Linked DNA regions of Drosophila melanogaster. The gene in region 2 interacts genetically with the main gene of each other region. Each region holds a gene or a part of one and is shown on either strand. Other genes may lie near its edges. The genes, in order: dap and caup.

Evidence for each region.
Region 1: of caup (region 2) and dap, changing one enhances a phenotype caused by changing the other (phenotypic enhancement), as found in Drosophila melanogaster (one study listed by BioGRID).

What each region holds. Positions count from the first base shown.
Region 1 is NT_033778.4:9,710,496-9,717,014, reverse strand, and holds dap (dacapo), read right to left. Parts: upstream 4,695-6,519; 5' UTR 4,076-4,694; coding exon 3,912-4,075; intron 3,853-3,911; coding exon 3,452-3,852; intron 2,105-3,451; coding exon 1,932-2,104; 3' UTR 759-1,931; downstream 1-758. Other genes in the region: sqa (spaghetti-squash activator), read left to right, coding at 1-496.
Region 2 is NT_037436.4:12,607,419-12,612,659, reverse strand, and holds the start of caup (caupolican), read right to left. Parts: upstream 3,030-5,241; 5' UTR 1,892-3,029; coding exon 1,841-1,891; intron 1-1,840. UniProt on the Drosophila melanogaster protein: Controls proneural and vein forming genes. Positive transcriptional controller of ac-sc (achaete-scute). May act as an activator that interacts with the transcriptional complex assembled on the ac and sc promoters and participates in transcription initiation.

The DNA.
Region 1 (6,519 bases), on a different chromosome or scaffold from region 2:
CACCTCTTCCAAGGTGATCTCCAGCAGCACCAGAAGCAGTAACACCAGCTCCAGCAATTATATAGCCTCCAACGCCAGCAACTCAATCTCGACCAGCGCCAGCAACCCAAGCTCCACCGGCGCCAGCAATCCAATTACCACCAGCGCCAGCAACGAATCGGCCAGCAGTCGTCGAGCCAAGTTCAGGATAAATCAGATGAGTCGCGATGTGCCCGTTGGGCTGCCGGACACTCATCAAACCGTGAATCTGGAGGAGGCGGCCAACACCACCAAGGATTGCCTGCTGCATTTGTTGGAGAAATACAACGAGACCCGCATCCGCAATCCGGTGGGTCGTCACCAGAGCATCAGCGTGGACTGGCGGGTCAGCGACAATCTGGAGTACCGCTCCATGAGCTCCATCAACGCCTTCTTCCAGCGCCACAACCCCAATGGCGGCGGCCACAACGTACGCCACATTCAAGCCCAGCTGGAGGAGAAGGCGGCGGGCAAGTAGGTGCCCATATCCACAGCCCTCTGTATATATGCGATATATATATTTGTATGTAGAGTACAGATCAACTAATTGGCACATAGGTAAATCTACAAAGCGTCGAATGGAACAAATTAATATTTATGTACTTGATGTAAGCAATAAATCAAATTAATTTATTGAATAAAACTGAAGCAATGATTCGTTTCTATTGACGCGGGATTGAATTTTGTTGGCATCCCACGATATTTTATAAAAATGAAATTAAAAATTAAAAACGCGATTTATGTACTACCAACTAGAAAATCAAAAACAATTTATTGCAGAAAAACAAATATTAACTTATAAAATGTACAAAATTGTTTTAGTAAACTACATTTTACTGCTACGTCTACAACCAAAGTAATGCGGATGTGTTGGTAATTTTGAAACAGGACAATCGCGTTGTTTTTGTTTTGTTTATTGATGTATGAGTTGAATATGGTTTAATTATACATAGAGTGTCTATACATATAAATATTAGGAGAATACTTTGGATTTGTTCTTAGTTAGGCCTTACAAATTAATGCTTTGTATAAGTGTTATGAAGAATAGGCTCTGCCTATGTGTATAGTATGTATAATAATCTAGTTTTTGTACATGATAGTTTCAGGCAAAATTGTTTTCATAATTTGCCCAGAGATCATAGCAAATCATAAAAGACATTTTTAGCACTGGTTAAGAAATGAGAGCGCGACAATTTGTGTCCATTCGGCGGCATTCATATAAATAAGGCATCCAAACGTGCAGAAATTGACGAAGTTAATTCAAAGGCATTCCTCTTTTTTTTTTTTGTTTTCCACTGGTCGAATTGGTTACAATGTTAGTAGGTCGCAAAAACAAAGCAGCAATGAGCCGAAATGCGGCTTATTGGGGCATCGTTTTGGCGCCCTTAATATGCAAGACAAAACTCAATTCTACTCTCCCCTCAGTTTCAGTACTTGGATGAAGTGGCAGGGCAGAGAAAGGATGAGTTTTGTTCACCCGGCAAATTTCAAATGCAAAAGTTGCCGGCGAAATTTGCAAGGATTTCACAAAGTTATGTAAAGTTAGTATTCCATCGTTATAAAGGTTAAATTTCGGTTGGCTTCAAGATAGTTAAGACTAATTCCATTTAGCTTGCGGTCTCTCTCTTCTTGTTCAATAGTTGTTTGTTGTTAAGAACTAATCACTTAGTTTATGGCATTTCTCACTAGAGAAATCTAAAAAGTTTCATTTAGCTCGAGCTTACTGGTTGACTTACAACTAATTACTGGTTACGAGTAGTTGAAGACTAACGATTAATATTCGCAACTGTCGCCCTTGCACTGCATAAAAAGGTTCGTAATAAAAAATTAGGAAATACTACACAATCGCAGTGGCTTGTAAAAAATAAAATTACAAATTGCAATTCGGTGGGTTGGCCAGCGAATCTGGAGCATTAGTTGTGGCGCGGCCGCTTCAACATCGCCCCAAAGTGTGCCCCCAACCCAAATCCACCGCTGGAGCTGGAGCTGGAAGTGGCGGACGAACTGGGAGAACTGGTGCGCATGCGCTTTGCGGGCGATAGTTTCTTGGGTGCCTGGGCCAGACGTTTGCGCTCCTTCATGAATTCTGTAAACAAAGGAAGGAAAACGAGTGTTATTAATACGTGTTAGGTGGAATTGCCAAATCAAAGTCAGCTGCTGCATTTCCGGTTGCCCCTGTTCACAAGTCACTGATCCCTAAACAGCAGGCGCCGCCTGTTTTTCTGTTTTTGCACATTTTGATTTCGGTTTCGGGTAGATTCCCAGATTGTGGCACGTGGACGGCAGCACTTCCCTACCAGAGGGTTGCAGATCCGCACAGGGGTAGCAAATAAATGCCAGACGGCAGCCAGACAGTCGGTCTTTAGCCGGTTTTCAGGTAGTCCGGTGAAAGCAAGAGTGGTGGTGCTACATAACTGCATAAATTATGAGCTCTAGCTTACTGGCCAAAGCAGCAAAAAGTGCACTTTAAGTAAAGCGAGTTGAGGCGTTGGGGGATTCAAAGGCTTCCCTACTGACCACCCGATGCGGGTGCATTTATTATGTTCCGAACAGACACAATTTTTTTATGATTATAATTACACATGCATGTGCTAGTGGCATTTATAAAAAACGCTCAGTACAAAGCAATCAAAGGGAGGTTTGATAAGACCATGGACTCTGGATGGTGGTGCATTGAAAGCCGATCCCCAGACCCCTCTCCCGTTTTCTATAATGAGGTCAGGCCATAGACAAAGCGGAGTCACAGCTGTTGGCATTTATAGATGCAGCCAGCCAGCCCGCATGCTATCGATCTGGAAACCAACCCCCGCGTTGTGGAGGATCAGAAGAGAATCATTCGGTTTAGGGAGATGAGGAGCTGAAACAGCTGCAGTCAGCTTTGACTTACCCTTCTGGACGAAAATAAATCTCCCACAAAGCATTGGCTAATTGCTATAATTTGGGTCTAAGTTTCACGAAAAACGCCCACAACTAAAACGTGAATATAAACAATAAATGCGAAGGAGTGGACTTAAAACCAATCAAACAACCCCTTATGGAGTTTAGTATTGTAAGTACAAAATCCTGCACAAAATATTGGTTTGGCATAAAATCATTGATGAAAATCGTTTTCATCGAGTTTGCAAAACAAAGAGCACGAATCTACTTTTATATCTCGAGCACTATATTCGGAAATTTTTAGATAATACTCTCTACTCTACAGATAATTTTGAAAAATAATATCGTATCAGTCCGATTACAAAACAAGCCTGATAAGTTAAAAAAAAAAAAAAAACACCCTCAACTTCCTCCTGAGAACCGAAAATAAACAGGGAATAAAAGGAAAGCTATGGGAAAACACTTTGTAACGTCTATCGAAGTGAAATGAAGCCTGACCCTGGGAACCGTCAAGCTCTACTGATCAAAATGGTGTAGAACATCCCCCAAAACTCACCTGTGATTTTTGGCTGTCTCTTGCGCAGGACTATGGAGGATGTGCTTGTCGTGCTGGAGGAGCTAAGCCGCATTGCCAGCGACTCGTCCTGGGAGTCGTAACAAGATTCATTATCCGTGTTCGACTCTAGCGAGGAATTGACCAGATTGGAGCCAAAGTTCTCCCGTTCTGAGCGCTCGTTGACCAAAATGTCCATGTCGCTAGGACTTGCATCCGCGGAAGGGCGTACGTGGGCGGCCCGTGTTAGGGTGTACATCTCTGGGGCGAAGCTCGACTCCTGGAAGCTGACGCGCTCCCAAATGTAGGGTGATTTTTCAGCTAAAGGGCAGCCGGCGCGGAAGTCAAAGCCCCATTTTTGCGTGGCCAGTTCTTGATGGCGCTCCAGTTCGGAATTAAAGGGTCTAAAGAGGATATATTGTTAGCTATTGGTCAAAATCCAACTGTTATTATAGAAACTCACGTTTTGTTGGCTGTACCCTCGGCGGATTTGGAGCTACCGAAGAGGTCACGCTTTATGCGATTCAACTGACGACCGCATGCCAGATTGCGACTCACCGCCGGGCTGCTGCTCATCTTGCAGAACTCACTGATCATCACAGGATTCAGGACTCGGGCACTGACCATGTTGAGTCAATATATATTTTTTTGGGATCCCCTAGTGTTTTCTACTCTGTTTTGAGACGCACTTTTCTTGCCACTTGTTTGCGAATTACACGCCAAAGCGAACTGTCAAACTTTTGGCGCCAAAACTTTGTGTTCAGACAGCCCCAAAAGAGAGAGAGGCAGTCTCCACACGAATACAAATCACGGTCTCCACACGCGAGCGTGTGTGTATGTGAGAGGGAGAGCGAGTGTTCTGTGTGTGCGTTGTGCTGCAGCTTATTTTACGTCTTGCTGCGTTCAAAAGTGAAATTTCACGCTGCAATTGTTTATAAAAATAATTATAAACAAATGCCTTGGTCCAATAGCACTTGGTCACTATCTTTGAATGGCGATTCGAACACACTGCACTGCTAGTCGACTCACAAAACGAAACGTTTGCGGGTCTCGTTGGAGTTTTTGTATGAGTTAGCTGCCAATGGCAGCACCTTTGTATTATATTTGTCTTTACAACTTGAAGTCGTTTTTACAGCGATGTTTGTTAACCTTTTCGGCTATGAGCGCACTGCGCACTAGATTTTTAAATATAGCGCTACCGATCGAAGCGAACCTCTCTCGACGAACTCGGAGAAACGAATAAAAGATAAATAAAACACTGGGCAAAAGCAAACGTCAAACAACCACCAGAGGCGTTGCCAACTGGAAATTCAGAGCGGTTCACGCTCTCTCTGTAGCAACCCTCGAATTCGAAAAGATCGGAAAAGCAGCAGGAGCGAAAGAGATAGGGAAAAAGAATGCGCTTTTAATGTTAATCATATCGAAAGAGCAATGCACTTCCTTTGAATTGTTCTTTAAACTTATATAGCAAACGTATAAAAAATACTCAGAAAAATAAAAGTTTCCTAACAAAATTTAACTAAGGCATCTGAGTTTAAAAGTTTTGATATTATGAGCTTTAATATAATTATTGATTGTTGGAATCATCATATAGTACAATATATAATACGTATTCATTATTATTATTATTATTATTATTATCATTATTTTCATTATTTCCTGTCAAATAATATTCACAGCTCATAAGCCCATAGTTCATTTGTAAACAGTATTCAACCAGATTTTATTTTTAATGTTTTTGAAATAACCAATTTAATTATATTTTAAACTGTCCAAGGTTCCTTCATAGAGCGTATCAAGAAAGTCGTCACAACTTCCACAACCTCTCTCTCTCTCACCATATGTCTCCCACTCTCTCGCACGCCATCTACCCATCCCTGCCATTTCCATCCGTGTGTTCTGTTCGCTGCCTTCTTGGTTGTTGTTGCATCGGTGGAGCTGTACTTTTAGTTGCGATTGCGATGGGAAGATACGAAAAAACGATGTTATGGTTTTGGTTTGTTTGGCCTCAAACTGGATTTTTAGTCGTCGGAGGGAAGTGGCAGGGGGCATTTGGGGCACCAATTCTTTTCACTTTCCTCGTGTTGCCAAGGGGAAAATCGCGCTTGCATTGTGGGGCACTGGTCCACCAAATATACATTTGTACGATGTATGTATGTATGTATGTAAAATAATGTGCACGTCTAGTTCGAATTTCCTTGTGGTGTTTGCATAGCACTGGGTATTTCAAATTTCCGTTATGGTTCACTTTGTGAAACGCAAGTTTTCTGCTCATTTCGTGCTGCATTTTCATAAAGTTTTTTTCCTTTCGTGTGCAAAATCGTAAAAAATTAAATTACACTACCAAAGGCAATAAAACGAGATTTATATTGTTTGAACAAATCCAATTAAATAAGAAGGAAAGAATTGGGACAAAGCCTTGGAAGTCAGATTCGTAGACTAAAGACATCATTTGCTTTGTCCTTTGCACTCGACGAAATAATGGGAAAACCCATCGGCTTTCCACACAAAAACCCGAGAAAAAAAAAAACAAGAAAAAACGGAGTGCAATCACCCCAAAAAAGGCAGAGATCGTTTGACGAACGTTCGATTAGGCAGCATCATCATCCATCCATAATTCGTTCCTTTCCACTCCCATAAGATCCGATCCCTTGTGGTTCGGTTTTCTGTTTATGGGACACACCCTCCCTCAAAAAGAAAAGCAACGTGAATTTACACACTTTATAACAAATTTGAGAATTCTACTGGCGTTCGGCGGCAGTCATGCCTGAAAACATAAACAACTCAAGAAGGAGTTTTTCGAAAGGGGAAGAGTTCGTGATCCCTTTAAGTAATTTCCTCCCGAGCAGGATATCCTGGCTTTATATGGGTTGTGTCAACACACGCGGAAAAACAAAAAAAAAAAAGGCTGAGAAAAGAGGTGGAAAAGCGGTTCTCAAGTGTCCCGCTTATGAGGGCAGATCCTAAAGGATTGTCGTGGAACGTGCGGGCATTGGATGGCACTCAAGGTATTCACTTGATTGCAGTCCTTAATGCTGGTAGGATCGAATTGGATCTTATCCGAATTCCCT
Region 2 (5,241 bases):
GCTTCAGATGGAGCCTATGTGAATCCAGGACTCGACATCGTCGCGCACTTTTTGCTGCCTTAGAATTTTAGTTATTTTGCCATGAAATGCGTGAACAGCTCGCATGGGAAGTTAAGAATTCGATGTGCGATGTGCCTGCAAGTTCTTTTGCTACTGCCAACTGTCAGCCGTTGATTAAATTTATATATTGTCGTTTTTTTTTATATTTGGAATGCCGTCTTGGCGTCGAAATTAAAATTAAATTAATGAGAACCCGAGTGTGTGCACTGCATAAATTTGGCACCCGAATGCCATATCAACTGACCAGTCTTTCATTGGTGGCTTAGTCGCATTTAGTGGCTTTTAGTGGCTTTAGTAGACGTATGCAAATGAGCCGAAAACGATGACAAAATTCTGTTGGCTCTTAATCGATTGCAAGGCAAAAGGCTTTTTGCACATCTCCAGCCATAATTATAGTCGATAATCTGAACGTTCATTATTTTAATTATTGTAATTTACCAAGTTTGCATATTATAATAAATGGTGCACCACTCCGCCGGCGGCTTCATTAGCATAAATTTATGCCAGCCACCGTGGTCAGGAATATTGTATACATACACACATATATACATATGTATATATATAAATGTACATAAATTGGCAGCAGGATAAACGCACTAGCATTGACGCATTTGACCACATAGTAGTCGTTGAACATGGCTTACACAGGCATTGCAAGGGCTTTGTAGCTGCAAGTGTTTCACTTCCCCCCGTTTGGGCCAACTAATTTGAATTACTGAGCTCCGAATACCGGGTAATTATGACCAGACCTCGGACGATGCACTGCCACCGGAATGCCCCACCAGACCCCCCCCTTCGGTTACCAGCGATTTGCATCCAAGGCGGTGACGGCTGTCCTAAATTGTGAAACATTTCTTGGCGGCGGGGCGGCCATTATGGCTATATCCGCATATATATATATATATCTATATATATATGTATGTATATATATAGGGATCCAGGAGCCCCAACCGGTGCCAAAGTGCTTGAATATTCATGTGCAGTGGCTGCTCCCCAAACCCGCCGGCTTAATATGTAAATTTAAAGTTATTTCGCACCGTCCATTATTAAAGATTTCCCTTTTCGCACATGCCAAAATATTCAACTGACTCAGTTTCTGGTTTTATGAAACATCTTTTGTGTGTGTGCCAAATATTATTTTAGTCCGCACTAAATAAATAGTATATTCAAGTGTCTCTTGAAATGATTAAGTTATGGCTGCATATTGAAATGGCACAGCTGTAAATCAAAATATAATAAATACATATAACGAAATTAATAAATTTAATTTCATGGCCAATATAAATTGTTATGACTAAGCCATCTGTTTTAAATTTAAATTTAAGGCACCCAGTAGCAATAATTCAGAAATTTGCTCTTTCAACTGGTTTTTCGCATTCTACTCAATTTAAATCAATGTATTTATAAATCTTCAGATTCTATTCACAATAATTATTGTAAGCAAAGTGCTCTTTATAATATGGTATTTATGGCCTTCAGTTTGAACACAAATTATGAGATTACAAAAAAAAATTTGGATAAGGTTTTTAATTGATTTGGAATTTGTTACTTTTAAAATTGAATATATTATTGACAAAATCTAAAGGGAGCAACATTTTCAAAGCAAATATAAATGTATATATAAGATACAATATTGGATCCATACTAAAAGATTCCTTAAAATTGTTGTCTGTGCTAAATAACCGTTTAAAACTTAAGTTAAGTTTGCTTACTAATCAATACAGACTTAAAAAAAACGGTTAACTGTTAATCTCTAAACAAACCACCGGCATAAACCCACCTGATTTGCCGTCGGGTAGCCAGCGTATCCAAACTGCGCATATGCAGCCATTGTCTCGCTGGCTGAGTTGGCCTAAAGAGCGGCGACACGCGAGTTCACTGTGCCGGGGCTTCACTGTGGGGCGTCCCTCGTTGTTTGCTTGTTGTTTTCTTATTTTTTTTTGCGATTGCGGATGCGGATGCTGGCGGAGCCCTCGAAAAAGGGGTGGCCAAGGATGTGGGGATGGTGTTGGGTGCTTAAGGGAGGTTCAAGTGGGTGGCCAGTGGGTGGTTGGGTTGGGTGGCTGGGCGGATTTGGCGTGCGTGCTCGACGGCTAAGCACTCTGGGCGCTTTTGTTGTTTGCTGGCTTGTTGGGTGTTGTGCTATTGTTGTTGTTGCTGCTGCTGGCTGGCCTTGTTGAAAATTGATAAAACAAATTGTCGATGTCGAGCAGTTCTGTTAATGTCGCCGGAGCCGGAAAATGTTTTGTTTGTTTTGTGTGACTTTGCTGTTTTATTTCGCTCGTCCGTTTTCATCCGTTTTAACTTGATTTTTATTGACTCTGTTTGACTCTTTGGCGGCCGGTTACCAAAATGGTTAAAAAAAGACACACACAGACGACAGCCGGGCAAAGCAAATTGGATTCAAGTGTTTGCCGCAAACAGATTTACAAATGTACGCGGCTCTTCAGTCTTCGGTCAAAAGAATGTGTCAGTTTGGTTTGCGAGTTTACCCACTGATTGGTATTTCAGTTTTTTCCACACTGTATCGAAATTTTTTAAAGTCAGCTTAGGAAACTTTTTGATATGTGATCCATAATAATAAACATAGTTTCGAATTTATGGCGAGTTTCTTTTGATATTTAACGAGACATTTCTAGAGAGGTTTGCCTGTCTTTTCGGGTCCCTTTTTTTCGTATTTACTTTTATCATAACTATTGCACGCACTTCATTATCTACGTCGGTTGCATCTGCCGATCCGATCCGCTGGCAATGCTCCAGTAAAAACGGGTTCCGTTCCAACCTGTCAGCGGTATCTCCACGGTGACGACGGCAGTGACTGCGACTCAATAACCGACTGTGACTTATCCGGTGACTGTAACTCGTTCGTCGGTACTTTCGTTTCGGCCTTTTTTCGAGTTTACTGGGCGACGCGGCGGAGATGCCAAGATGCGAAGATGCGCACCTATTCGCGTTTCGGAACAAACTGTTTTTCGGCCGCTCAGCGAGCAGCGCGGTTGCGTGTGACAGAGATGGCAGCAGCGATGTAAACGGGATGGCTGCAGGGCCGCGAGAGAGCCAGCCAGTTAGGAGCTCTCCCATTGGCCAGCGTTCCAATCAGACTGGCAGCCACGAGCAGCAGCCTTCTCGCTTGCACGTCTGTGAGTGGTCTGGTAACGAGTGAGAAGGGTAGACTCTCTGGGGCTGTTGTTGCTTTGTTCGTTGAGAACGCCCACCTCCAAGCACTGGAAAGTAAGTCGACGCTCTCTTTCTGCCGACCCCTCTCTGTCGACGTTGGAAGCGATTTCATGGCGGACCACGATCGAAAGGCTTCCCAATTGGATATTGTAGCCAAAGTTGGCTAAGAATTTTCCGATTTTGATAAAAAAGTACAATACAGAAATAATTGGAAAAACTAGAAAAGAGTTGCTGAAGATTTGCTATCATAATAACTGGTCAAAATACGTCTGGGCATACATTCGTGGGAAGAATTGGAACATTTTTCTACAATCTCAAAAAATCAAACATTAATTTAATTAATTAAATATAATGTTTAAGAAAATTTGCAGGCATATAAAGATATGTTTTTCAAGACGAGTGGGTATACAATCTCTTTAATATTGAGTAGTTTAGTGTTTTATTTGATCCGCTTCCAATTATTCTTTGAAATTTTAAAAGAGAATTTTCAATATTAAAATAACAAAAACATAAAACCTTTTTTATAAGCCCAGCTGAAATAAATATAATCTATGTCACATCAAACTACAAAAAATAACATACAGCAAACAAATATAAGCATGTTTTTATATTTTAATAAACATATTTGCTTTTCTATCTTGGCTCCCAATAAACAAAAAGTTTGATATTTTAATGTGCATTTAAATTTTGGGTGGTGTAAGGACTTGGAAAATCTAAAAAGTAATCAAATTAAATTATTTTAGAAGGTCTGCAAGTATATAAAGCCAAAATCTAATTTTATTTAAGAAAACTAATCCGTACGTTATTGGTAACATCAACAACATTTAATCATTACAGTGTGTGTGTGTTTTTTTAAAAATAGCTTGATATATGCATTGTACATTTCCCATAAAAGTGCTTAATGCTCCAATATCTCAAGGCCAAATCACGAAAATCGCAGCTAATTGGGACTAGCTAATCGTAACAAGATACCGAAATAGGAGAAAAAACAAACAAACAATCCGATTCCATTCGATCCAAGGAAGGGGGCGTGGCCGGTCCATTTGAGGGTCCTCGAGTCGAGTGCGTTCTAATTAATGGTATGTGGAGCGGGCGGGGTGGGGAGGGGAACTGAACGTTTTTGGGGAATTTTTGTAAAATGAGTATTTTGATGTTTTGGGGTGTTAACGCGCTGCCATTTATTATAAATGCGAGTGCATCTCAAAGTCAAAAGAGACGCACATGTGGCACTTTTTTCGGTACTTACAAACGAACGCATATGTAAATGTGTGTGTAGCAATGTGTCATTTGCATAGGAAAATGAAAATGCACCGGGTATTTTTGGGAAAAGTGTCCGAATGCCCAAACTCCTGATCGGTACTCAATTTCTGGACGCTCTTGGCGGCGCCACGAAATTCTACACCCACTTCATGAGTCTGGGGATCTGGAATACGAAAGGATTCACATGAAAGAAATGCATTTGAGAATAAAGAATTCATCCATGAAATTTAAAATGTATGCTTTTAAAAATTGAATTTCTAAAGAGCCAAATTGTGATTGGTTTAAAAGTTGCAAATAGTTATTCTTCAATTGAAAACAACATAAATGCAATCCAATCATACCAAAACGTTATGTAAAGTAATCATATATTAAAACAATTTCTGAATCATCAAATAAGCAGGACTATACTCGTGTAATTTTTTAAGTTTCGATATTTTGAAGATACACAAGATGAACATTTCAAATAATCTATATATAATTTATATTTAGCATAATTATAAGCTTATATTAAATAAATACTAAATGTTTAAGAAAATATGTAAAATGAGTATCATGCTAATTGGAGTATATTTTAATTGAATCGAATGTTTTCTGCAGTGTTTACCTCCTTGAATCAATATCTCTGAGTGATTTGTTTGATGACTTCGGACATGTGAACTGTGGCACATGTCGCATATCCTTGGGAGCACGTAGCCCGTGCCCATAAGTGTCCTGATCCCAGGATTCCCATTGTCTGAGCTCTGC